7 linked regions of the Rattus norvegicus genome follow. The protein of the gene in region 5 interacts with the protein of the main gene of each other region in a pairwise test. Links are inferred from orthologs where the notes say so. Each region holds a gene or a part of one and is shown on either strand. Other genes may lie near its edges.

The links.
Region 1: the proteins of Cep44 (region 5) and H2ap interact in binary tests that used the Homo sapiens proteins (3 or more experiments, as listed by UniProt). The two-hybrid records come from large-scale screens. The link is inferred for Rattus norvegicus from reciprocal best matches to the Homo sapiens genes CEP44 and H2AP.
Region 2: the proteins of Cep44 (region 5) and Aqp1 interact in binary tests that used the Homo sapiens proteins (3 or more experiments, as listed by UniProt). The link is inferred for Rattus norvegicus from reciprocal best matches to the Homo sapiens genes CEP44 and AQP1.
Region 3: the proteins of Cep44 (region 5) and Txlna interact in binary tests that used the Homo sapiens proteins (3 or more experiments, as listed by UniProt). The two-hybrid records come from large-scale screens. The link is inferred for Rattus norvegicus from reciprocal best matches to the Homo sapiens genes CEP44 and TXLNA.
Region 4: the proteins of Cep44 (region 5) and Pop5 interact in binary tests that used the Homo sapiens proteins (3 or more experiments, as listed by UniProt). The two-hybrid records come from large-scale screens. The link is inferred for Rattus norvegicus from reciprocal best matches to the Homo sapiens genes CEP44 and POP5.
Region 6: the proteins of Cep44 (region 5) and Cby2 interact in binary tests that used the Homo sapiens proteins (3 or more experiments, as listed by UniProt). The two-hybrid records come from large-scale screens. The link is inferred for Rattus norvegicus from reciprocal best matches to the Homo sapiens genes CEP44 and CBY2.
Region 7: the proteins of Cep44 (region 5) and Rnf8 interact in binary tests that used the Homo sapiens proteins (3 or more experiments, as listed by UniProt). The two-hybrid records come from large-scale screens. The link is inferred for Rattus norvegicus from reciprocal best matches to the Homo sapiens genes CEP44 and RNF8.

What each region holds. Positions count from the first base shown.
Region 1 is NC_086039.1:15,579,976-15,582,311, forward strand, and holds H2ap (huntingtin-interacting protein M), read right to left. Parts: upstream 1,056-2,336; 5' UTR 972-1,055; coding exon 618-971; 3' UTR 501-617; downstream 1-500.
Region 2 is NC_086022.1:85,819,284-85,822,783, forward strand, and holds part of Aqp1 (aquaporin-1), read left to right. Parts: intron 1-2,577; coding exon 2,578-2,742; intron 2,743-2,998; coding exon 2,999-3,079; intron 3,080-3,500. UniProt on the Homo sapiens protein: Forms a water channel that facilitates the transport of water across cell membranes, playing a crucial role in water homeostasis in various tissues.
Region 3 is NC_086023.1:147,266,474-147,270,622, reverse strand, and holds the start of Txlna (alpha-taxilin), read left to right. Parts: upstream 1-1,349; 5' UTR 1,350-1,462; intron 1,463-1,912; 5' UTR 1,913-1,918; coding exon 1,919-2,084; intron 2,085-2,781; coding exon 2,782-3,120; intron 3,121-4,149. UniProt on the Homo sapiens protein: May be involved in intracellular vesicle traffic and potentially in calcium-dependent exocytosis in neuroendocrine cells.
Region 4 is NC_086030.1:47,039,233-47,043,450, reverse strand, and holds the start of Pop5 (ribonuclease P/MRP protein subunit POP5), read left to right. Parts: upstream 1-1,418; 5' UTR 1,419-1,870; intron 1,871-3,616; 5' UTR 3,617-3,843; coding exon 3,844-3,863; intron 3,864-3,935; coding exon 3,936-4,078; intron 4,079-4,218. UniProt on the Homo sapiens protein: Component of ribonuclease P, a protein complex that generates mature tRNA molecules by cleaving their 5'-ends. Also a component of the MRP ribonuclease complex, which cleaves pre-rRNA sequences.
Region 5 is NC_086034.1:38,728,759-38,732,258, forward strand, and holds part of Cep44 (centrosomal protein of 44 kDa), read left to right. Parts: intron 1-929; coding exon 930-1,052; intron 1,053-2,645; coding exon 2,646-2,813; intron 2,814-3,500. UniProt on the Homo sapiens protein: Centriole-enriched microtubule-binding protein involved in centriole biogenesis. In collaboration with CEP295 and POC1B, is required for the centriole-to-centrosome conversion by ensuring the formation of bona fide centriole wall.
Region 6 is NC_086033.1:57,324,486-57,328,716, reverse strand, and holds the start of Cby2 (protein chibby homolog 2), read left to right. Parts: upstream 1-1,431; 5' UTR 1,432-1,485; coding exon 1,486-1,560; exon of another isoform or gene 1,561-1,699; intron 1,700-1,862; coding exon 1,863-1,943; intron 1,944-2,420; exon of another isoform or gene 2,421-2,620; coding exon of another isoform or gene 2,621-2,668; intron 2,669-4,231.
Region 7 is NC_086038.1:7,693,965-7,697,464, forward strand, and holds part of Rnf8 (E3 ubiquitin-protein ligase RNF8), read left to right. Parts: intron 1-1,059; coding exon 1,060-1,800; intron 1,801-3,500. UniProt on the Homo sapiens protein: E3 ubiquitin-protein ligase that plays a key role in DNA damage signaling via 2 distinct roles: by mediating the 'Lys-63'-linked ubiquitination of histones H2A and H2AX and promoting the recruitment of DNA repair proteins at double-strand breaks (DSBs) sites, and by catalyzing 'Lys-48'-linked ubiquitination to remove target proteins from DNA damage sites.

The sequences.
Region 1 (2,336 bases), on a different chromosome or scaffold from region 5:
CAAGACTAGATGTTTAACCATTTTACCTCTTCTAAAATGGATATTTCCTTCTGGCTTTGCCATTACACCATCATCAAGTGAATACTCTGTCCCTTATGCCTACTCATGTGACTCATGCAAACTGTCTTTACCCCTTCGCTGACACCCATTTCCTTCTGCTCTGAGACCTTTGCTCCCATGAAAGGTGGCTTCTGTTCATCAGCAGCATCTTCCAAGTTACCATACTGAAAATATAACTCTCCAGTGAGGCTACAGACTACTTCTGGTCTTCTCTGAGGCTTCTTTTGTACTCAGAGCCAACAAGGGAGCCTTCTCCACCCTCCTCTCTGCCCAATTCCCCCCACTGGGGTCATTACCCAGCCCACCCCCACTGAGAAGTACTCCCTCGATTCAAACCCCCACTCCTAAGCATAACTTCAATCTTTTATTCTTTCTTTGATATCTTGTGGATACCTCCAACTCAACGAGACAAACTGAAATAAGTCAGAACAAGTAACTTTCATTTAAACATTTTATTAGTATTCATGGACACAGGGGGCAGCCTCCTCTGCTATTAGCCTTCATGGTTCTAGCTGAGTTTGTGAGGCTTCCCACTCTTGGGTTGTGAACCCCATTCTTTAGCCATTCCTTCTGGGTCCAGGCATCTCATCAAACAGAGAGAAAGGCGCATTCTTGAAGGCTTGAGGGGGTTCACGGTCATTCTCTCTCTGTCTCTCTCTATCTTGTGAAATATTTTGCTGGCTGTTGATGTTGGCTTCGGAGCCCACCACCTCCAGGATGTAGTCGGTAAGGTAATCAAGCATGGCAAGGAGGAAGTCAGAAGTTGTGGAACCTAGGCAGGGGGTGTATTGCTCCTCCTGCAGTAGGCGGTACACATAGTTCACAGGCACCTGTACCTCAGGCCTAGAAGAAGGATCTTCCGTCTGCTTGTTGTCGCTGCAAGCCTTCTCTTGGCTCTTCTTCCCCGACATGATGGTTTGATGGTTTGGGCTCCGGTAAGCTCTGCCTGGTTCACCAGCAGGACTGGTTCTCTGAAGACAATGTTCAGTCAGGCCCATTGCACCCTCAACTTCTGCACCTCATTGGTCAGGAGCTACCTTTATGACATCTTAGGCTTTGAGATGTCATTGGTGCCTGGTGGGTTATGAGCTTTGACTAGGTTTTGAGCCTAGAAATATCTATCACAGCAATGTGACCACCTTACCCTGATTTTGAGGGGACTCTAACTCTTCTCAATTACACTTGAATTAACATTGTAGAAATAATGTGTTTTACTTGAAGCTGTCTGTCTTTACAACCTTTCATCAATTACAAGGCAGTGATAAGCATGTCAAATACATTTCCAGGTAGAGGCTTGACTGTCCTCTTCAAGCAGTGTTGAGACCCTTTTTGATTCAATTTACTTATTTAAATAGGCTTGGTTAACAATCCTGTACACATTTGAATATATTCATTCATATGTTTATTCAGTATCATAGATATTCAATATCCACATGAGTTTTATCCAATTTCCAAAACATCTCTTTTTGGAGAGGAAATGCTTGGTGTGTTTCTGGTACATAGATGTTGGTAGCTATACTTTGTGTTCTATTTAAGTCTGGATATTGCTTTCTTGTTGTTCTTTCTGTTGGGTTAAAGCCAAGCTCCAGTATACATATTTTATTTCAATTTTCCTTTCTATTACTATCTTGTTTCTGTATTTTTGTTGTGTTTTGGTTCACTTATAACCAGTAACTCCTACTCCAAAAGATCTATAGTGAAAGGAATCTTCAATCAAGTCAATATCAAAACCCAAATATGTAAAACTTTATTGGATATCAGGGCAGAACAATAAGCTCATGAGATGTGAGACCACTGATCCTGGCTCTATTGATTTCATAACTTTATCTATAGCCAGATTTCTTCCCTCCGAACTCTCTGATAATTTCTTTTAATCATATGTCCTTGGCACAAGGTTACAAGTGAGTAATCTTAGCCACTATTGTTCTTCACAAAGCTTAAAAACCCCACAGATTTCTGTCATTTCATCTTCTGTCACCTTCAATCTAATCTGACATTAATTCTGCTGATATATCATTTTCCAAAGCTTACAGATCTAAATGACTCATTTCATCAGACATTAGATTCTTTCACAGGTCCTTAATCAAAGTAAAAGGTAGTCATGCTTCAGCCCACACACACAGAGAGGCTAAGTAACAAGGAGGGCTCTAGGGGTAATGACTGGATTTCCCTGGGAAGGGGATATAGAATAGATTATGTGGGTAGACTGGAGGTTGGTAGTGAGTGAACAGGAGAAATCAGGTTGGGGAGGAAGCAATGGATGGAGAGAGTACAAG
Region 2 (3,500 bases), on a different chromosome or scaffold from region 5:
TGTCTGGTCCCCTTGTAGCCAGCATATCTTCCTATGAGCCCAAAGTGACATCAACCCTAAGGTCCAGGCCTCGCTGCCTTCTCCTGCTCTGTCCTCTCACATGTGAGCCTCAAAGGCCACTGGCTGGCTTATCGTCTCCCAGCTTACCTGGGAAAGCATAGGCCCTTTGCTCTATCGGCCTTCATTAGAATCCACTATTACAAAGAGGCTGGGAATTGTGGAAACTGCACACCCAATGAGCCTTCCCTCAAAGGTTTGCAGAACCCTGGTAAGGCTCCCAGACCAGGAGGGACAAAAACACCCAGCTAGGTGGCAGGTGGACTCCTCTTCTCAGTGATACCCAACTGCTCAGATGAAGGTGTGGCAGAGGGAGGCAGAAAGAAACCTCATCCCACAGAAAGCTCAGTAGAGCTGGTGAGTCTGGACGCTGCTGTAAGTCGTGAACCCATCTGGGTCTAGTGATTAGTAGCTTTGAACGCTTCACAAGAGCTGTGTGGCCTGTTCAATCGCTCACACCTGCATTCTCAAAACCAAGAGCTGCTCCTTCAACTCTAGTTGGTGAAAATCCAGGCAAAACTCTGCCCACGTGTGCAAACATGGATCTTCTCCCATGATAAATGACAATGACTGGGCTTGGGCCCTGTTTAAACAGTTGTTTGAAATGTAGTGGGCTATACGCACTCACTATGGCTTGACTTTTCAAACCTGCTCTTTCCTGGACAGAGAGTTTCCACCGACTGTCTCTAACCCTCTCACTGTTTTCCCAGATATAAGTAGCTCAAGTCCATTGGGCGGAGAGCAGGCATCATCAGCTGCCAAGGCAAGCGAGGTGGCTGCTGCTGGGATGGTAGTGAACACTGGCATCAGGAGGGTACGACTGCCAGCTTTGGCTGTCAGGAGTTGGGTCCCTTCCAGAGTTCCCAGGCCAGATGACTGTCTCCTGCTTCCTGAGGACTCAGACCCCCGGGCCTGGAACTAGGGCCTGCTCTGCTCTGTGTTGATAGAAAGTGGTACCTTCTTTGTATAGGGTCTGGGACTCAACCCTAGTTTAGAGCAGGGGAAGAGATAGATAAACTGGCTCTGGCTACATCTATGAGAAGGGCAGGGTGGGGATTGGATCTGAGCAGGAAGCTTGGGGACAGTTCCATTATTTGGTGAGGCAGTGTTCCTCACAGTACTTCTGCCAGCCAGCAATTAGGCCAGCCTAAGAGAGGAGGGGGTGTGGAAGGAGAAAAGCCGTGAATGTCAATGAGGGCCACGGGCTTTCCAGGCAGACGTAGAGATAGCCGTCATGGACTTCTAGTCATTCCTCCATCAAGCCATCCCAGCTCGAGGCAGCCTCTGCCAGCAGACACAGCTATCCTTCACTTCCATCTCTACCACCTGCTATTTCTCGCTTTTGCTGCCTTCTCCAAATGCCCTGTGAATCTTCTGGAGGCTCTAGAGTCTAGATGGAGCTGAGACCTTAAACCCATTTTGCAGATGGAGAAACTTGAGGCCCAGAGACAGGCATGTTCATGGTGCCGACTAGAAAAGTGAGAACCCGAACACTGGGATTCTGCCTCTATTATAGTCAGGTGATAGTTGGGCATTGCTCCCAGAAGGCTCACTAGGCAGAGGGGGCACAGCTTTGGCATTGGCCAGGAAAGGCCCAAAGCTGGGGCCTCAAGGCAGTGGAAGGGATGTGAGTCACTCCCTGAGAGCCAGCACTGCAGACAAAGGCGGGAAGAGTATTGTTCTTGTGAGATGGCCTAAGGGCTGAACTGGGAAGACCCCCCCCCCAAGAATGCCAGGTGGCTTTGGGGATATTACCACTCTGTGGGGAAATTGGAAGTGAGCCTTCAGTGTCAGCTGTTGGGGTGAGGCTCAGCTGTCCCTTCAGGGAGGGAGACCACTGGAAGCATCCTGCATCCTCACTAAGACTCCTCAGCTGCTCTGTGGGGTGCACCTGGCCTCAGCACTCTCCCCCCCTCCCCTGACCAACCCCCTCCCTGACCCGGAGCAGAGGTCTGGATCCCCTGCGAGGGATCTTCTCAGGGCAGCTACAGGTACCATAGGGCTCCAGAGACTTGGTGGCAGTTCTCATTCCCTTCTTTTTCCATGAGTCATCTTTCCTAAAGTAGCTTAGGAGCGGGGACAGCCAGACTACCATGGTTGGTGCCATGCAGCCAAAGAGAGGGAACGCAAGGCCAGGAGAGAGAAGAGGGGAGAGAAGAGATGCAGAAGGGAAAGATTTGGACTTGGAAGGGTGAGGCAGTATCTCTACTCCATTCTTCCTACCCACACTTCTCTTCTCCCACAGACATCCCTGACCACCTCCCGTGTCTGACTCTCACCTCTCCCCTGTAACACTGGGCCTGTCATGTAGCCAACAAAGAGGCCCCAAGTCACCCTGGGGCCTTGTCGTTACTTGCTATGTGTTTGTCCGGCCCCCTCTGAGGCCACACAGTGAGTAGCTCTCTAATACGCTAGGATGTGGTTGACGACTGTCTCGTGGTACCTGGGCCTGGTGCTCTGGGAATCTCGTTATGATTGCCACCGGAAGTCACTGGGCCTTCTGGCTTCTCTCCTCCGCAGCTGGCTCGAGGTGTGAACTCCGGCCAGGGCCTGGGCATTGAGATCATTGGCACCCTGCAGCTGGTGCTGTGCGTTCTGGCTACCACTGACCGGAGGCGCCGAGACTTAGGTGGCTCAGCCCCACTTGCCATTGGCTTGTCTGTGGCTCTTGGACACCTGCTGGCCGTAAGTAAGGGGCTTCCCAGGTGGGGAGGTCTGGGCCAAGGTAAGAGGTGGTGGGTGGGGCTAGTGTGGGCGTCTGTGTATTTCAGATGGAATTCCACTGGGTGGGATGGCAGACCCCCTCTGGTGACAGGGAAAGGACTCAGGGACCTCTCTGATCATCCACTGGGATTGATTTTCCCCTGGCCTGCTCTTTCTCATTCTCCATCCTCTCTGTCATTTCCCTTACATTCTTGCTCCTTACACACTCTCCTTCCAGATTGACTACACTGGCTGTGGGATCAACCCTGCCCGGTCATTTGGCTCTGCTGTGCTCACCCGCAACTTCTCAAACCACTGGGTAAGTCACCATGGGCAGCCAGGTGCGAGGCATTGTTTTCCTCTCAGGGATTCTGGGAGACAGGCAGGACAGAGGAAATCAAGAACAAACCCTGAGACAAAGGGAGGGGGTTCAGATCATTAAAGATTTGTGTCATCTCTACTCTGGCAGCTCCAACCTACTAACAGTGTGGTGACAGATCTTGGCCCTGCCACCTTTGGATTTAGCAACCTCAGGAAGGTTTTGTGCCTTGGTTTCCCAGACTTTGAATGAAGTAGACTTAGAATCGTTACCTCTCCCATCAGGAGAGGGAGGACCCATGACTGCAAGCAGAGATATGAGAGAGGACACATCTTTGTAGGCTTTAGCTTTAATTACTGTTGGTCTGAGTGTTCCTGGCCACCCTTCTATTAGGCTAGCCCATCTCTGGGACCCTTCCAAG
Region 3 (4,149 bases), on a different chromosome or scaffold from region 5:
GCTTGATCTATATAGCGAGTTCCAAGTCAGGCAGCACTAGAAAGCAAGACCTTATCAAACATAGCAAACTCCAAACAAGTAAATAATTGAAATCACAATTGTGTTTGTTTTTGAATGATCTAAGCATCGAAAATCCTAATGAACAAAGACAAAATCTAACTTTCTAAAGCATTAGCCCATGTAGGAGCACGTGGTACTTTGCAGAAAGTGGGGCAGGGCTGAGTGGGAGTTTACCAATCCGCCTAAAGCCAAACCTCCTTGCTACAATCCCCTCCTGAGGATCCAAGCTGGTGATGTCAGAAGGCGGGGCATACTTGGTCTCAAAGCCTGTGATGGCGGAGAATGGTTAAGATGGGTTTTAGTTGGATCTGAGGTAGAAGCCAGCATAGTCAAAGACTAACAGCCAGGGCTACACGGAGAAACCCTGACTGGGCTGGGTGGAATGGAATGGGGCACTGGGGAGAAGATTAAGAAAAGGATGGGTGGTGTCAGGCTTCCAGGTTTGAATCCGCAATAAGCACACAGTATTGATGGATGGAGCCATAGATTATTTACCCTTTACCTGGGCATGGTGGCCCGTGCCATTAGTCCCAGTCTTGGAGAGACAAAGACAGGCAGAACTCTTGAATTCAAGGCCAATTTGATACACCTAGAGAATTCGGGGCCTGCCAAAGCCACACATGAGACATTGTCTCTAACAAACAATAGTACATACTTTTTTCTTTTAATTAGCCTTTTCCGTACTGCCCTATATTTCCCAGATCTCTGAGTATAATGTTCTTTCTCTGAGTAATTATGAGGACCAAGCTATTACATACGAGGGAAGAACACATTGTTTGGATTATTATAAACCTTCTACTGGAATGGAGAGGGGAGGGATACTAGGCACATAACAAATTAGTGGTTTGGGCGTGAGATAAATATCTCCTAATTCACAGTTTACCCTTCTTTCTCTCTTCCACTCGCAAGTCCTCAGAGATCCTAAAATAGTCATACATGTTCATAAGGGAGTGTATGAAAAAAAATCCAGACTGCCAAAGTTTAAGGGCCAATCATAGTTTCTGTACTAGGAAGGAGGCTGACACGAATCTCTAGACCGAATGACATAATTTCGGACCCTCAGGGTATTTGGCTCCTAAGCTTTTCGGTTGCATCTCGGGAGTTGTGACCTGCCGCAAGGCATGAAGGGACTCGTAGTTTTTCCCACTCCCGCCTCCAAAGCCGCCTTGGCCTCTTTTCCCAGCAAGCTCCGCGCCAGCGTTTGCTGTTGATTGGCTGCCGCAGGAGAGGGTGGTCCAGCTGGCAGCAGTTACCCAGGTTTCCGGTGCTCGGCCAGAGTCGGGGACGCGGTCGGACGTCCGCGGTGAAGTATGTCTTTGGGCTGTACACGGGACGAGCTCTTCAGAGGGTCCATGACCCAGGACGCGTTAGCCGCGGAGGAACAACTAATTCTGTGGACGGGGTGGGGAGAGTTGTGTGCTGCCGTGCTGCGCATGCGTACTTCGGGTCTAGAGGGCGCGTGGGGTGTGGGTGTCTTCTGTGTACGCGCGCGCGCGCGCGGGAATCCCACGTGGGACCTGGTGGGGCGGGGGGCCGGTCGGGACTGGAGCATCCCGCCACGTCAGTCTGCGGCTCTGAGCCAATCCCGCGCTCCCGCTGCCGAGAGGGAGCCGTGTGGTGCTGAGAAGTGGCATTCAGGAGAAGGGAGGCCTCTTCCTTCCTTCACTCTGTGCTGGTGCAGCTTCTCGGAAACCTTGCCCGGGACCGTGAAGTCTCAGGCGAAGGCCGACCAGTTTGTTTGAAGCTTAGAGCTTCAGATTTGGAGATTTCTCATCTAGGTTGTGAAGAATTTTGAAGTCTAGAAAATAGCAGCGGTGTCCGTAAAGGATCTACCCCTTTTCTGGCCTTGCAGATCACAATGAAGAACCAAGACAAAAAGAATGGGCCTGCCAAACACTCCAACCCGAAGAACAGCCCTGGGCAACGGGAAGCAGGACCGGAGGGAGCTCATGGACGGCCCAGACAGACAGCTCCTGGTGCGGAAGCTGAAGGTTCCACAAGCCAGGCTCCTGGGAAGACCGAGGGTGTGTGCCAGCTCTGCTTTTCCAGTGGGCAGAGGGAGGAGTTTCTGGTACTTGCATCTATCTGAGGCCAGTATTTACCCAGGAAGGAGGAACTATAGAATGAAACAATGCCCATTCTGTGATCCTCATGTTTCCTAGGGAGGTGATGAAGCTTTCCACTCTTAGCCCTGGAACGGAACCTTGGGGGCATGCTCTGACTGGTTTAAACCAAATGACAATCAAATGAGGCGCCCCATAAGCAAAGTCATATTCCCACTTGCCAGTGCCCGGTGATTAATTGTCCTTCATAAGACAGAGCGTCTGCTACACGTCAGTCGTCCCTCTTGTAGGGGTGCTTTACACAGTTGTCTTTGATGGTCATAACAAGTATGTTTGGGTGTTAGAAATAATTGTTTCGTCTTATAAAAACGTTTTATACGACTTAGGGTTTAAAAAAATTAAATTGAGGCCAGGCATAGTGGCCCTCACCTTTGTTCTCAGAACCCAGAAGTCAGAGGCAGGTAGATCTGAGTTTGAGGTCATCCTCATCCTCATAGTGAGTTCCCAGACAGCCAAGGCCCTGTAGAGAGAGCCTGTCTCAACTGAATAAATAAATGGAACGTTTAACCCACACAAGTGGTGTTTGTCTGGGCTTAAAGAAGAAGAAAACCCAAGGGAGCGGTGTAACCACCTAACGTTCACTGTCTTCATCTTGTAGGCGCTCGAGCTAAAGCATCTCAGTCTGGGGCCCTCTGTGATGTCTCTGAGGAGCTGAGCCGACAGTTGGAAGACATTCTGAGTACATACTGTGTGGACAACAATCAGGGAGGCCCAGGTGAGGAGGGAGCTCAGGGGGAGCCCACTGAGCCTGAAGACACAGAGAAGTCCCGAACCTATGCAGCCAGGAATGGGGAGCCTGAACCGGGCATTCCAGTCGTCAATGGCGAGAAAGAGACCTCTAAGGGGGAGCCTGGCACAGAAGAGATCCGAGCAAGTGACGAGGTTGGAGACCGAGACCTTCGAAGGCCACAGGAAAAGAAGAAAGCCAAGGGTCTAGGTGAGGGGGAGCTCCTGCTGACGGGAGGGAGTGAACACTTGCCATCTCATGGGCTAGCCTGCTCTGTCTGGACACAAGAGAATCTGCTTTTCAAGACAGTACATCCCCCCAGTTTAGTCAAAGATGGGGTCATCCCATTGAGCTGTTCAGATCACTCACTTGTGCAAGGCCTCCTGGCCTTGGGAGCCAAGTGGAGGCAGGAATCCAACTAGCTTTCTCACTGGGAATATGGAAAACCGGAGGGAGGCCTAAGTGCTCGACAACACCACTTTCAACCTGCTGTTTGACTTTGGGCATGTTTATTCTCCACTCCTAGAGAGGGTCTTAGTTTCCCTGTTTGTACAGCAATAGAATTGGGCTACACCAAGGTTGAAATATCAACATGGACCAGGTAAGCCACAGACCTCTTCAGAATCAAGAAAGGGCCTTCTTGATCTGAAAACCTGACTCCTACCTGGTTAGTCCCCCAGTCGCATCTGACCAGCTGAATAATTGGTAACCAAAATAATAGAAAGTAAGCAGAGGCCTCCATTGGTTGGATTTGCCATCTCCGTGTTACCTTTTGGGCCTCCCAGGGCTGACAGCTCAGAACCTGGTCTGTGCTGAGTACAGTGGAACCCAAGGGAGACAGCTGTAAGGCTTCCCGGCTGAGGTAAAGCAAGGCAGTGGCAACCTGGCACCATGGCGTACACCTTTAACCTCAGTACCTGAGAAGCAGGAGCAAGTGCATCTCCTGAGTACCAGACCAGCCAGCTGCATAATGAAACCTTATCACAAACAAAGGACAGGAGTGATGGGACAATGTGAAAATACGAACTTAGAACCTAATGCAAACCAAATATGGTAGTGTATGCCTCTAATGGGGAACTAGGAGGAACAGAAGCAGGAAGATGCTGAGTTCAAAGCCAGCTTGGGCTACATAGCAATACCCTCTCTTTGTGTGTGTGTGTGTGTGTGTGTGTGTGTGCGCGTGTGTGCGCGTGCGCGTGTGTGCGTGTGTGCGCGTGTGTGCGCGTGCGTGCGCGTGCG
Region 4 (4,218 bases), on a different chromosome or scaffold from region 5:
ACGTTCAGGAAGGAAATGTGCTCTAGCCTTCTCCATACAGTGGCTCTCCAGGCCCCTGGCCAAGCAAATAGAAACTTCGACTTTACTTAAATTGTCTCCATTCCCAAACGGGGCTGGAGAGATGGCTCAGCGGTTAAGAGCATTGGCTGCTCTTCCAGAGGACCCGAATTAAATCCCAGCATTCACATGGCGGCTCCCAACTGTCTGGAATTTCAGCTCTAGAGATTCTCACACTCACTCACCTGGAGAAGGAACGCCGACGCAAATAAACATTTTTTAAATTAAAAAACAAAAAACCAAGAAAAAAACTAGTTAATAGTCTTAAGGATACAGTTAGAGGCACAGAGCAGTGGTTGCTGGGAAAACTACCAAGCAGGTTCAAGCGTCCTGGGCCAGAATCCCGCGTGGCTGCAGCATCTAGACTCTAAAAGAGACTCCCCGGATGCCAACGTGCCTGGGAAAACATCAGGGCTGGGGGTGTCCCTTGGCAGCAGAGCACTTGCCCAAGCACCCACAACACATCCCCCAGCACCTCAAAATAAAAGCACCCGAAAGCCGGGCCTAGTAGCTTAGTACTTCATGCCTCTCATTCCGGCCCTCGGGAGGCAGAGAGGGGAGGACCTCTGTGAGTTTCAGGATAACAGGATCTACACAGTGCTGCTCAGGCCAGCCAGGGAGACCCTATCTCAAAGAAGACAAGGGTGAGCCAAGGCTCAGGGAAGGTGCACACACCTTTGTCGCTGCCCCTGGCCCCTCCATGTCATTATGTTTCTGTAGGAGGAGGCACGTGTCCACAGGTGGAGGTTAGAGGACAACTTTCTAGGACATCCACTATGCCAGTCTCTGAGATCCAACGCAGATCTTCAGGCTTGCCGGCAAGCCTCCTTCCCCACCATCTCACCTGAGCCCTAATTGACCATTTTAGCAACTACCCCAAGCTTTCCTAAGGCGTTATCCAAACTTCTAGTCTGATGGCAGTTGAGTGAATAGTTTTTTTTTTTTTTTTTTTTCTATTTTTCGGAGCTGGGGACCGAACCCAGGGCCTTGCGCTTGCTAGGCAAGCGCTCTACCACTGAGCTAAATCCCCAACCCCGTGAATAGGTTTTTTTTAGAAGGCTTTGCCGGAGCTAACCTTTTGGTTCTGTGTTTGACCCAAGGGCCAGCTTTTGAGTGGAGAATGGCAAACCCGAAGAGGAGGGAACCCAAGCTCCACTCACCCTGACCCACGCACATCTGACCATCTGACCTGGTTTTTCCAGACCCACGGTAATAATAGTTAGTAAGCGACACCACCCCAGGATGCGGGCGGTGGGTGAAGAATGGGCTCGGCCGCGGCGAACGGGTTTGGGCTCAGCGGGGATTAGGCTCCATCCCCGTGTGAGTCATGCCTGCCTGCCTGCCTGCGTGCGTGCGTCCGCCTCTCTAAGCCTCAGCCCCTTCCTCCGCCTGACGCCGGCCCACGGCTCCCGCCCCCGCGCGGCGGGGACCCGGGTGATTGCAAACAGCCGCCGGCCTCATTAGGAGACCTGTAATTAGAGGCTGGCGGAGCCGAGGGCGGGGGCTAATTACCACCGGGAGAGGCTGAGCCGCCGCCGGCCCACTGGGAGGCGTCTGGCCCGCACCGACCGGCTGCCCCGGATCCGGGTGCTTCCTCTGGGTGGCGGCCACTCGCCGCCGTTTGTTTACTAGGCCCTCACCTCGCCCGCCCGTGCCAATGCAATTCCACCTACACCACCATCCTAATAATTCCTAATAATCGGAACTAAAAGGGAAAGCTGAGCTCTAGAGACGCGGTGTCGTCCCTGACAGCACCGGACCAGAGTACAGGACAGGAGATCTGAACCCACGGCTGTGGCTACGTTACTCCAAGGTAGGCAAGTGAGCACTGGAGTGGACCGGAGCTGGGACTTTGGAGGCAAATGCTTGCAGGGTTAAATTCTGAACCTGTACCGTATCTATAAAATGGGCGCAGGATTAGGATCCAGAGACTGATACTATTTTTAGGGAAGCGGGAGCGTGGCGAGCTCCGGCACACCGTGGGCCTCTGGCACCCCCTACCGGTCTAGGAGGACTCTGGTGGTGGGCAATGGAGATCTGTGGTCCCCGAAAGCTGTTTTGGGCCAGGAGAAGACTGAGATCTCGGATCTTGCAGATAGTCAGCTATGAAATAAGTCTTGGGGCTGAAGATATGGCTCAGCGGTTAAGAGCACTGGCTGCTCTTCCAGAGGTCCTGAGTTCAATTCCCAGCACCCACATGGTGGCTCACAACCATCTGTAATGGAATCCTATGTCCTTTTCTGGTGTGTCTGAAGGCAGCGACAGTGCACTCACATACATAAAATAAATAAAATTAAGAGGTGAGAGCACTGGCAGCCAAGTTTGACCACCGGAGTTTGATCTCCACCTTCCAGCGGTGGCGAATACACACATCTACATTTCTACAGCAGATAAAATAAGTCCAATTCTTAAAAACTACCCTGCTACAACAAAGCCTGGCCCCAAGAAACCCAGGATAACAAGAAAATCTGTAGACAATCTATATGAGGTCTATCGATCCTGACCGCCTTAGTGGCGCATTTAAACATGGCAATACTGTGTGCACGAGGAATGTCTGTAGCAGCACCGGCGACAGGAAAAGAGAGTGAAGCAGCAGACTTACAGGCATGTTGCATGGTGCAGGTATGCTGCAAAATATATATGTCCAGGCCTCGACCTTGCAAAACCTATCTCTACAGAAATGGGAATGATGGCTCCTTCTCACTAAAGGCTTTGCCAAGGGCCTGGGAATTCAGGGAGCCCTGAAGCTTATCTACATCTTTTTTTTTTCTTTTTTTCGGAGCTGGGGATCGAACCCAGGGCCTTGCGCTTGCTAGGCAAGCACTCTACCGCTGAGCTAAATCCCCAACCCCTTATCTACATCTTAATAGGGCGCTGGTCGCACAAATCCACATTATTCAGTCGCATCATTAAGAATATGCGCTTAAGGGGCTGGGGATTTAGCTCAGTGGTAGAGTGCTTACCTAGGAAGCGCAAGGCCCTGGGTTCGGTCCCCAGCTCCGAAAAAAAGAACCAAAAAAAAAAAAAAAAGAATATGCGCTTAATGTAGAGATCAGTGAAGTGTACCGCGTACGGTGGTACACGTCTGTGGTACACGCCTGTAGTCCCAGCCCTTGGGAGGCTGAGGCAGGCAGATCTCCCGGCCAGCCTAGTCTACCGAGCTGGTTCCAGGACACCCAGGGCTACAGAAAGAAACCCTGTAACAAAGCCCCAACAACAACAACAACAACAATTACACAAAGATATTGAAATTAATGGGTTAAAAAAACGCATTAAAAAACCTAATTCTCTATTCTCAACAAAGAGGGCTGGGTGTAGTGGAGTGCATTGGTAATTCTAGCGCTTGGTAGGAAAAGGCAGGGCTACAGAAGTTCCGGGTCGTTCTTGGTTACACAGTCTGGGGTTAGCTTGTGGAAAAGAAGACAAAGAAGAGAGGAAGGGTACTATATTGTTTTTGCAAACCACTTGACAAAACTCACCTCCACAAAACTGTCAAAATCCTCTCAAAGAATTAGCGTATTTGGGTGTATGGTAAAACTTCTGTCCTGGTTTTTTTCAGGTCCCAATTCCCGTGACACTCTCGGGCTTTAAGTGCAAGGATGTCCGCAAACGTTCACTGGACGACCCAAAGTACACACAGAACTTGAGCGCAAAATCCCCAGCGCCTGCCTGAGGCGGGCGCATGCGCTCTTACGCTCGCCGCGAGAGGCGGAGCGTGGAGATTGACAGGGCTCTCGGCCTGTTGGAGCCTAGTCCCGCCCTCCTCCCGCATCCGGCGCGGACGCCATGGTGCGGTTCAAGCACAGGTAAGCAGCGCCCTCCGTGTGCGTTCCCCGCGCCTTCCCCGCGTGCCGCGCTCACCCCGCCGTCCCCCGCAGGTACCTTCTGTGCGAGCTGGTGTCCGAGGACCCGCGCTGCCGCCTGAGCCTGGACGACCGCGTGCTGGGCGGGCTCGTCCGGGACACGATCGCCCGGGTGCACGGGGCCTTCGGCGCCGCCGCCTGCTCCGTGGGCTTTGCAGGTGCGAGGGCGCCGCAGGTGGGGTGCGGGGCGCGCTTTGCGGGGGAAGGCCCGGGCCATGTGCCGCGTTTTGTACGAGAGCGGAGGGTTCTAGAAAAGCAAGAGTGCGGCGAGTCCAGAACAGAGCAGAAAATGCCGGTT
Region 5 (3,500 bases):
CAGGGGCTGCATTAGAAGGGACTTAAGCACAGAGACAGACTTACTGAAGCAAAAGCAAGGGAAGGGAGTGGGCAGTTAAGCTTGGTGGGTGAATACTCCATCTGTTATTTGTTGGAGTGTTTTATGAACTGAAGGGAATTCTTGGTGTTAATGCTATATGAGTAATTGTCTAGGAATTTCAAAGGCATATCTAGGAACTAGGATTAGTTTCTACCAAAAAAAAAAAAAAAAAAAAAAAAAAAAAAAAAAAAAAAAAAAAGGTTGTGTAGAACCAAGATGGGAATTCGATGGGACGTAAATGTGTAAACCACAGAGGAAGAGTCCTTCCTTTTAACTTTTTTAACTTTCATGTCTCAGAATCTCCTCTATAGGACATAAATGCTTCCCAGCTAGCTTCTTGCTGAGGACAGGTCACTGCAAGGCTAGGATGTCCCACAGTCTGACCTAAAGCCATAAGTACCTACTTAATGTAAATCTCATTGCTCCATACAGCCCACATATCGGATGCCACAGTTGCTCCATTATTCACATATAGGGAATAACCCTGTCAAGGACCATAATTTCTCCCATACTAGTCACGTGTCTTACGTATCTATGATCTGTAACTTAACAGTTCAAAGATAATATATTTTTGACACTTTTTAATTTTTTTTTTGTTCATTTTTGTTTTTTAACTATGTAACCCAGGTTGCCTTATACTTTCTGTGTAACTAAAGCTGGCCTCAGCCCTCCTTCCACAGTCTTCTCTGTGTGGGATTGCAGCACCACCATACTAGTCTCTCCCAAATTTACAAGAAACAACTAAACAAAGCATGCTGCATTACTTTGACTATTGGCTGTTAATCAGAACTAAGTATTAATAGAATGACAATGTGCCTCACACTTTCCTACACACTGTATTGTTTTGTCTACTCCTTTTCCTTTCTTAGAATTCATCATGCCAAAGGAAGAAGAGCATTTCTGAGAAGCCAGAACCTTGTTCAAGTCGTGAGAAGTGCCCTGCAGAGGCGGTTGGCATTGACGTCACGGGCAGGTTTATGACATCAGGAAAGGTGAGGAAAGAAAAGGAACAGAGGCATCTGCAGACAGACAGTAAAGATACATTTCTCCCCTGCAGCAGGCAGCGCAGGATACATGATGTTTTTAGTAGTGCATACTAGTGTTCTCAAAGGCCTTTATTTCATTTATTTATGTGTTTTGATCATATCCACTCCCTGTGGCTCTCTCTTATCCCACTTCCCCTTCCTCCCTGCAGTCTCAGCAGGTGACTTCTTAGCGCACATGTTTGGGGACCATTCCTAAACTTGTGAGAAGTGTAAAGAGGAAAAATTGAATATGTTTTATATTTCTAATGTTGAATCCTTTTTTTTCATTTCTCAGATAAAATGTAGTAAGGTTATATTATAGAGGCATTGGCATGCTTTAAGTAATATATCCTTTTTATCTTATGTGGTTGTATATCAGAAGGAAGCAAAAGAGTGAGTCATATCCCTTGGAACTAGAGTCATGCATGGTTGTGAGTTTCCATGTGAGTGCTGGTGCTGGGAACCAAACCTGTGCCTTTTGCAAGAGTTTGTGTTTTTAACCTGAGATATCTTTCCAAGCCCTCGGTGTATACTCATAATTACATATCCGATCACCCTAAAAGGGGTGTGTATGTATTAAGTAACCCGTTAGTAACAACAGTGATTATGAAGATTCATTTAGCTGCAATGAAAACCAAGAGTATAGATTCCCTTGTAATCTGGTTTTGAGTATTCCTTATTTTAGATATACATTGTCTCTGTCTTTGTCTGGTTTGAGCTCCTGTGGCTAAACGAATCTAATACATTTAGAGATAGCAGTTTTTCATATCCAAGGGGAACTCTAAGCTAATATTCCATTTTAATTATAAATGTACTTCCAGATATTTTCCTTTCTGGGTAAAAGGACAGAATAGAGACTAATAATCAATGTATAATTAGATAAAAGATATAAAATGTTTCTTTTTTTTTAAAGTACAATATTTTTAATCTTACAATAAATGAGGATAATACCACAAAAGAAGAGTTAAACATTTATGAAAATATAAATATTTGACTATTCTGATCATATTGGATTCATGGATACTGTTTGTTTATTCATTAACAGAATCTCACTATATAGCCCAGGTTGGCCTGGCCTTTCTAACCCTTCTGTCTGGGCCTAGTGAATGCTGGGATTATGGCTGTGTGCTACCACACCTAATAGTTATTTTTATTTTGTTCTTTTTCTTTTGGTTTTTGTTTTAACTTTCCATCATGTAATATTTTAAACATTTACAAAAGCACAGATGAACCTGTTTTAGCAATCACATCTTTGCTAAACGTGTTTCATCTTTACTGTAAGGACTTTCTCCATCATCTTGAAATAAAACTAAACATCTTTAAAATATATTTCAGTATTTAACCTAAGACATTAGAAAGCTTCTAAAAAGCTAGACTTTGTCTCCCAAGCACTTATAAAATATGTTAATATTAGCATGTTAAACTATGATACATTATTATGGTAATTCAAATGTCTTTAAATCTTTATATAGTTTGTCTAGAGAATAATTCCTGTGAATATACTTAAAGGAATTGTGACAGTAAAACCATGGAGGTAAATGTTGGTGTTTGTCTCTGCAGAAGAAGGCTGTGGTGATCCGTCACCTGTATACTGAAGAGAACGTTGGTGTTCCTGAAGGGACAGTAACCTCAACAGAAGTGAGTGAAGGCTGCGATGAGTTGGAAGAGCAGAGTTCTGACATACGCATTCCTGAGGCGCAGGCCCCTGAGGTCAAGGCTGAGCTGCAAGTGAGGACTGAGGGGCTCCTTAACATACTGCTTTCTGTCTGTGCTTATTTCAGTCTTTGAAAACTGGACTGCTACTCAACTCTTAAATTATGATATCTATGTTATTATTTAAGAATACATCAATCTTACTGAGTGGGAGTTAGTGGATTCCAGTTGTCAGATCTGTTTGCAGTTTTCTTCCTGAGTTAGAAGTAAAGTAAAGAGAAATGAAAAAAAAAGGTACCTGTACCTGGGAAATTACAATCCAGCAGAAGAGATGTGCCGCTTCGCACGGAATTCTCTACCACTTGTAAGCTTGGCATTTTATTCCCATTTTCCCTTTGCTAAGTGTTTGCTATATTGTCTCCATGGGGCGTAATCTCACTATGTAACCTTGGCTGACTTTCTGTAGCTCAAGGTAGTTTCTAATTGCAAAACCCCTCTGCCTGGCGATTTGTGTGGTAGAGTTACAGATGTGTGCTGTCCCACCCAACTCCTTGCTAATTTCTGTTACTCCTTCTTGACACAAGTACCATTATGTATATGATCTCTACTGTTTCTGATACAGTACTCATGTCTTGTGATCTTTATATGGTTTGAGTTACAGTTGGATTTATGAAAGTTTATTTTATTTATAGGACTGCTTTGTACTATGTGACACTCTAGGTACTAGTCATTGCTAGTACCTAGAAATAAATAAGTAATGAC
Region 6 (4,231 bases), on a different chromosome or scaffold from region 5:
ACATATCACACACATAAACATGCCCGCACGCATACACACACACACACACACACTCCCACCACACACACATGCATGCATACACACACACACACACACAGAGGTGCATGTATACATACACATATCACACACATACACATGCATGCACACATCACACACACACACACACACTCCCACCACACACACTTGCATGCATACATACATAATCTCACACACACACACACACACACACACACACACACACACACACACACACAGAGTTAAGAAAAAGTCCTGAAGTTCCTTTGTAGAGACGAAGTCTTTGGCAATGGACGCACTTATGCTTTGTATATTCACATTGTCTTACACCGAGATTTGTTTGTAATTTGGGTATTTGGGACTCAAGTAGCCAATTTCAGAATCTCTGGATCTTCTGATCTTGGTTCACCACTCTCTCCATACTCCAAGGGACAAAATCACACAGAACTAAGTTACACACGGGAGCTCTGGAGGTAATGGGTCTGACAGAACTAAAGACGGAGGAACTGGATATTGTGGCCTTGAAGCAACTTCTACCTGTACTATAATTGTATACTTGTACTTTTCTATCTGAACAGCCTTAAATGTCCTGACAGGATCTCCCTTGGAGCACGTATCAGCTTATGCTACCTAGTGGAATGATGACTCTTGGAGGGTGGGGGATAGTTGCTAGAGGGGACAATCACGGGGTTAGAAAGTTGGAATTTTCAGCACACTTCTACCTCAGGGGAAGGAAGGAGTTGGCATTTAAATGATCAAAGACCAATGATTTCATTAAATTTGCCTACATAATGATATTCAACAGGATATACAACAGAATTCAGACACTGGTGCTGAAAATGCTGGGGGGCAGGTGGGTCCAGAGAAGGCCTGAAGCTACCCCGCCAATCTCTCATCCTGTTACTTCCGCAGGCCCCTACTGATCTGCTTCCTTCCCAGTAAAGCTGAGATCCTAAGTAAAAGCATTTTCCTCAGTTCTGAGAGCCAACTACTGAATGTGAGGAACAGGTCAGCGGAGCCCCTGATTTGTGGCTGATCACAGCTTGATCTGAGATTGGTCCCTCAGGTGAGGGTCATCTTGCAGGGCTGAGCCCCTAACTTCTGGGGCCTGCACAGTAACTCGATGTAGCTAGTATCAGAGTGGAGCTGAGCTGGAGTCCCTCAGTAGTGCCAGCCCTCCCCAGGTCCGAACAGCTCCTGTTTCTCCCTTCCCAAGTAATGCAGCTGGAGGAGCTGACACCTCTGAGGGGAAGTGAGCAGGAGGTTTCAAACCAGCCTGGCAATGAGCCTGAGCTGCAGCCTGCGGTGACCAAACAAGAGTGAATGTTGGGGCCATTGTGCGTCACACTGACCCTGGCTAGCCCTGTGGGCACAGCCAGCAACAACCCTTCCTGCTGACAGAAGCCTGCTTGCCACCCAAGCTGCTTAGAGAAAAACCATGAGCTCTGAAAACCACCATATTGTTCTGTGATGTCACCTCTGGAATGTTCTGAGTGTTTTGGTGACCAGCTTATGCACAGGACCTATACCTGGCACCTCACGTTGGTATGGCTACTTTCTTGATACGGAAATAATAGTTTAAGGCCGGGAAGAACTGCTTCAGGAACTTTCAACAGGGTTTTTATGTTTGCTAATTCCTGCATTGACTTCTGTCCGGTGATCAGTAAGGTTTCTTACTGGCCAGGTACCATCTACACAAATCTTTACACTGAGATTATTATTATTATTATTATAAGGTATATAATTAATTTGTAAGAAGTGTGTAAGCAGTTGTTTATTTCAGGTGAGCCACGGAGGCCCTGAAGGTGGGTTGAGGAGAAATCTAATTTTTTTTTTCTTTTTCGCAGCACTCGAGGCCAAATTTTACGAGAAAGAGAGAGATCAGATCTGAGAGCCTAGAAATTCCAATCAATGTGATTCTACCTCAGGTAGGGACAGTCACGGAAGGATGTAACTTACCAATTCTCGCTACAATAACCCTGTTTACAAACCTTATAGAATGAACAAGGAAGTCAGCTGTTTCAATTCTTGTCATGTTGGGTTTTCCCTGGTTGTGTGTCTGCGGGGAGGACACATGGTCTCTCTGGACCTTGGGATCCTCTGGCTTTAAATGAGGGGGCTGCGTTGACTATTCAAGTACCCCCTCTCCCCCCCACCCCCCCAACCTTTCAAGGTTTGGTGATACTGTAAGAAAAATCTAACTTGACCAAAGGAGACCCTTCATTATGTTTAACTACTCTGGAAATCTGTGGAGAACTCTAGCTTGAACTAGAATTGACATCTTATGCACGAGAATGAACCCAGGAGCTGACACAGAATGAACCCAGGAGCTGACACCCCAGCATGTGGCCCATTTGCAGCTGCCAAAAGAATTAATCCCTGTTGTGGGCCAAAGATGGGTACTAAGGAATGGATGTTCAGTTGCTCCTTTTGAGGCCAGTGAATGGTTAAACCCCTCGCAGATTGTGGTTCTTAGGTCTCCAGGCATGCAATAGCTTCCTTGGTGGGATGCCTTTGATTTGACTGTTTCTTCTGCTGCTATGTCACAAAGGGGTGGGCTTGCTTTCTCCAGAGTTACCTAAGAGCTCATTGGAAGACCAGGACCATGCAACCAGAGGGGGTGAAATGTAGGATGGAGGGACCCAAGACACAGGTAATTTGTCTAAAATTTGGTCCAGGGAGGTGTGTACAAAAGAGGATGGTTCTCTAATTGGTGTTCTGTATGAGTGTAACTGTAACCGGGTCAGCAAATATAGTCAGGCAAGGAAGCAGCCTGGAGACTTGTTTTCCTTACAACATTGGAGTGAGCAGCCACTTTTATATCTTGTTCAGCTCATGAAAGCTGAGCTAGAATATTAGGGAACTATGTTCTGATTGTCCTCTAGAACCTTGCAAGGTCTGATTCTTAATACGTACAACATGCATCTGCTACTGTGTGTGAGGATGGGCATGGTTCCTTTGGTTCCTTATATTAGGGGCACAGCTTTCTATCCCCAGTTCCCAGAATCAGCTTAACAGCCAAGGAGAAATGTGATTTGAGAAGTCTTGGGTTAATTCTGGTCCCCTGGACCTCCAGCCCCACTTCCTGTGCCGTAGGACTTGTGTAGCTATTTGGATTTTGGAGGGCAAAGGGATATGGAATGAAGGGGTCACTGCTGACTGGAGATTTGTTTCTCATGGCCAGATGTGGCCTTGAGTATGCCAGACAGGCTTAGTCACCAGTCTTCAATAGGTCAACTAAGCAATTGACTGATGTTGAAAAGCAGGAAGAGGAGATTTATTCAATGCTGCAATACTTGAAGGAGGAACAAAGAGGTCTAATGATTTCCCAGGTTCATCTTGGACATGAAGTTTGGGTTTCTTTAGTGGGCCAGAGATACCCATCCAAGGTGTGGTCCAAGCCCAGCATCAGTGTCTGAGCCTCAGGCTCTCCTGCAGGGTAGTCTGACAATAAGGGCTGTGTGAAATCCCTTTCTGAGAGACAATTTCTCTCTCTCTCTCTCTCTCTCTCTCTCTCTCTCTCTCTGTCTGTCTGGATGGCATGGGCCTTGAGCCTTTACCTTCTCCAAAAGGAAGGCTACTGGAGAAATTTCTTGGGGTCCATTGTTTCAATAATCTGATAGGTAGAAGGAAGGACATAAGTATCTTTTTCTGGAATATATTCATCACTACCTGGATGGTTACTGTCCCACCTACCATGGGGTCACAAGCCAGGCAACCTGTCAGGATACTTTGGACTGGTCCTCTTGGATTGGCAAGTAGTCATAGATAACTAGATGATGTAAACGTGCCTACCTCCCAGGCCTGTGAGGAAGTCCTCTCTGCCCACTGTACCTCCCCAGACAAGATAGTCAGGAGGACCCCTATATGCAACAAAGTGAGGAAGGATATTGATGGAGTGCTGCTGTCGTCATGTGTTGGCCACAGGGCTACACAAGTGTAAGGCAGAGATTTCACAGCTGTGGGAATTGGGAGGTTTAGTAGCAAGGACAGAACTTCCATTTAACCCAGGTCAGTGCTCAGCCTGTCACCCTGTTTACTGGGACCAGGTGATGTTATAGCTCTAGTTGTTCTCTTGCTTCTAGAAGATAGTGCCTCCCCTCCCCTCACCTGGATTGCTAAGCCCCAAGCTTCCTGTGTCTTTGTGCCCATGTGGTTTCATTCTGAGTTGAGCTCATTCTGTTTGGAAGGGAATTATAACTGTACCTCTGGCTCT
Region 7 (3,500 bases), on a different chromosome or scaffold from region 5:
AGTCTGTGTCACACTGAATGTAGCTTGAGTGTAAGAGAGCTCAAAGCCTGCCTCCTCAGTGACACTTCCCCCAACAAGGCTACACCTCCTAATAGTGTCACTCTCTATAGCCAAGCATTCAAACACATGATGAGTCTATGGGGGCCTTTCCTATTCAAACCACTGTACCAACCCAGAAAACAAGCAGGAAGTCTACCGGGTGTCATCGGCTCTCAGATGATAGACACATTGGAAATGCAGGCAGTCTAATGCAAGACTCCAGTGTTGGGGTTTGAGCCAGGTCTTAGTGTGCTTTTACCCCAGAGCTCAACCCCTCCTGATCCATGCTCCTAACAATGTAATTTCACTAAAACAAGAAGTTCGGGGGCAAAGATTTATGGTTTTGGAGTGCTGTGCTAAGCATTGCAGTGTGGGGTAGATACCAGACTTCCTCATTTTATAGACAAAGTACACAGAGAAGAGACATTGCTAACGTATGCGGCGAACACCCCCAAGTGTTGGCCTGAGAGCTCCAGTAGGAGCTCTGGCTCTGCTCGCCCACTATGCCTCATGTACACAGCCGCTGGTGTTCCTGAGTCCGTCCCCACCCCCCACCCCACCCCAGGACAGAGCATTGGCATTGTCCCCATAGCCTTTGTACCCTGAGAGGGAGGTGCAGAGCCTGGGTGACTCCTGCCCAAGCCTGGCTAGGGCTCGCTGTGGTAATGCTTCCCTCCTAGGAGCGCTTTCTCCAGCTTGACTCATTGCCCAGAGTTTAGGTCAATGGGAGTGATTGGGTCTGAGCGTCGTTCAGTGCGCTGCCGTGCTTTAGGAGGGAGGTTTTTGCCTGTTAGACGGGCGGTTCTCTGTGGAGTTATGAATGTGACATATAGGTAGAAAGCCAGAGCACTGTGCGTACAATGCTCTTTCCAAAGATGGTGCTTTATGAACCTTTCATCTCTGTCTGTCCTCAAGGGCTTTCCTTCTGAAAAGGCAGAAGGTTTTGTAGCAGCAAGAGAGAAATTCCGTTAAGAGGGGGAAAATCATGAGCTTATTTTGTTTTTCCGTCTTTCTCCCCAGAGTCTGAATGGTGTTTGGCTGAACAGAGAGCGTCTGGCGCCGTTACAGGGTTACTGCATCCGTAAGGGAGACCACATCCAGCTCGGAGTGCCTCTGGAAAGCAAGGAGCATGCGGAGTACGAATACGAAGTTATCGAAGAAGACCGGGAGAGTCTGGCTCCCTGCCTTGCCCCCAAGAATGACCACACAACGGAAAAACATAAAGGCTTGAGAACTAAGAGGAAGTTCAGTTCGGATGGGGTAGAGAGTCTTCCAGCCGAGGGCCCCTCAGATCTCAGGTGCCCACTGGCTAAAGGCTCCAGTAAACCCGCTGAGCCAGAGAAGTTACACGGCAAAGGTGAAGCGGCAAGTCAGCCCTTGGGATGTTTGTGCCCTACCTTGGCGTCTCTTGAGGCGAGTGAGAGGACCGCGGGGCCTCATGCTTGCTCTACTCTTCCTAAGGTCCTCGAACTCTATCCTAAGAAGCAGAAGGCCTGCAGCCCATCAGCATCTCAGAGCAGCTTAGAACTGTTTAAGATGACCATGTCCAGGATGCTCAAGCTGAAAACCCAGATGCAAGAAAAGCAGATTGCTGTCCTGAACGTCAAGAGGCAGGCCCGGAAGGGGAGCTCAAAGAAAGTCGTGAGGATGGAGAAGGAGCTGCGAGACCTACAGTCCCAGCTGTACGCAGAGCAGGCTCAGCAGCAGGCAAGAGTGGAGCAGCTGGAGAAGACGTTCCAGGAGGAGGAGCAGCACCTCCAGGTACCACAGAGGCGGGGGCGGGGCCTCAGGTGGGCGGGGCCTCAGGTGGGCAGGCGCTTAGTGGGCTCCTGCCTAGAGTTGTCTCTGGAGCAGGGACTCAGTGCTAATAACTAAGCACAGTACACAGAATGGGAAACTGAAATGGAGGAGGTGGGAAGGGTTGGGGTTTCAGCATACTGGTGAGGTCAGAAGCCAGGCAGGGTACCCAGTTGAGCAAGGTGACGGCAGCAGCCAGCCTGGAGACAACTGGTCTCTGCTTGGAAACGGGCTTCAGATCCGAGGTCAAGTCAGGGAGAGGTTGGGTAAAGGTTAGGATGCAGCAAACCATGTCCTCAAGGCTTCTCTGCTCTTTGCTTTCCGAGCAGGTGCAGGTCAGCTAGGTGCCCTGCCTTTGTGTACACAACAGTGGGTTGTCTGTGTGATTAGCTCATTTCGGGGGTGGGGGCTGGCAGCACAGAGTGGTTTTGTTCCTGTCTTGATCAACCAGAATGCCATGGGGAGGCACACAACTGGCGGAATGATAAGCCACTATCCTCCACCAGAAGTTAAAAGAAGTATCTGAGAGGTACAGATGTTGGAGCAAATGTGTTCTCAACTCCAGACCATTCGCTTAGGTGACAAGCTCTTGCATAAAGCTTCAGGCAGGGGCTGATCTGTTCCTGCTTAAAATGTCAGTTCCCCAGGGCAGGAACCATGCCATTCCCACCCCAGCTGTTCAGGTAATGGCGAATGTCAAGAATTCCCTATTGTTGACTTAAAACCAAAAAGGGCCAGTCACAGCTGAAGTGCAGAGGTGGTTTTTTATCTTGCTTGAGTCTCTCTGGGCAAGGAACAGCCTGTAGTGGTGTTGGCTTGTTTCTGAAGAGTTTATCCTTTTCTTTCTCACCTCTGCTATCTCCTTGAGCTCGTAGGGCTAGCAAAAGCCATGGATTACAGCAGTGCCTCAGGAGGGCGCGCATGGTGGGTGTACATAGCTTCTGCTCCCCTTGTCAAGCCCAGACCGCTGTAAGTTAGCAGAGGGTGGTATCTGCTGTTTGGGGTATCACACCTTCACTGAGCAGAATTCTCTTTAAAGGACAGTGTGTTCAGAGATGAGGGTATTCCTGTGATTAGTATCTGTGGCGATTCTGTGCTGAAGAGACAGCTGCAAAGTCTTTTCTGGGGCAGAAGGTTAAAGGCCGAAGTGCCTTGTTGAGCAGCGTGCCGAAAGCTGTGTGTTAGCTGCATTGGCCCTCACGATAGCCTGGCCTGACATCGTGTTTGGAATTCTGCTTGGTATTGAAATGCCCAATTTTTAAAAATCATTAAGTAATTTATCTTGTAGAAACAAGATATGCCCCTATCAACACATTGGAAGAATGGTTGGCACATTAATTACAAGTGAGTGGAAATCCCCCACCCTGTAGGTAATCCCTAAGGCAGCAAGAGCACAAACTGCAGGGAAGAAGCTGGCCATAGTTGAGCGCTGGTCTGCTGGCTGCGGGCAGAAAGGGCAGAGAGTGCCTTGGAGAGGGAGGTCCATGCAGAGGGACAAGACGGAAGCATTGTGGGGCCGGCCTTGGGGATGTATTTGAGCGTAGATGTTTGTGCCTCAGTTCTCAGACTCCATCCATTTGAGTATGTGGCAATAAAAGAAATTCTGACTACTGCTCTGTGGTGTTTCAGAGCCGCTCCGCGTGCGGCCTGAAGCCCTGTCCTGA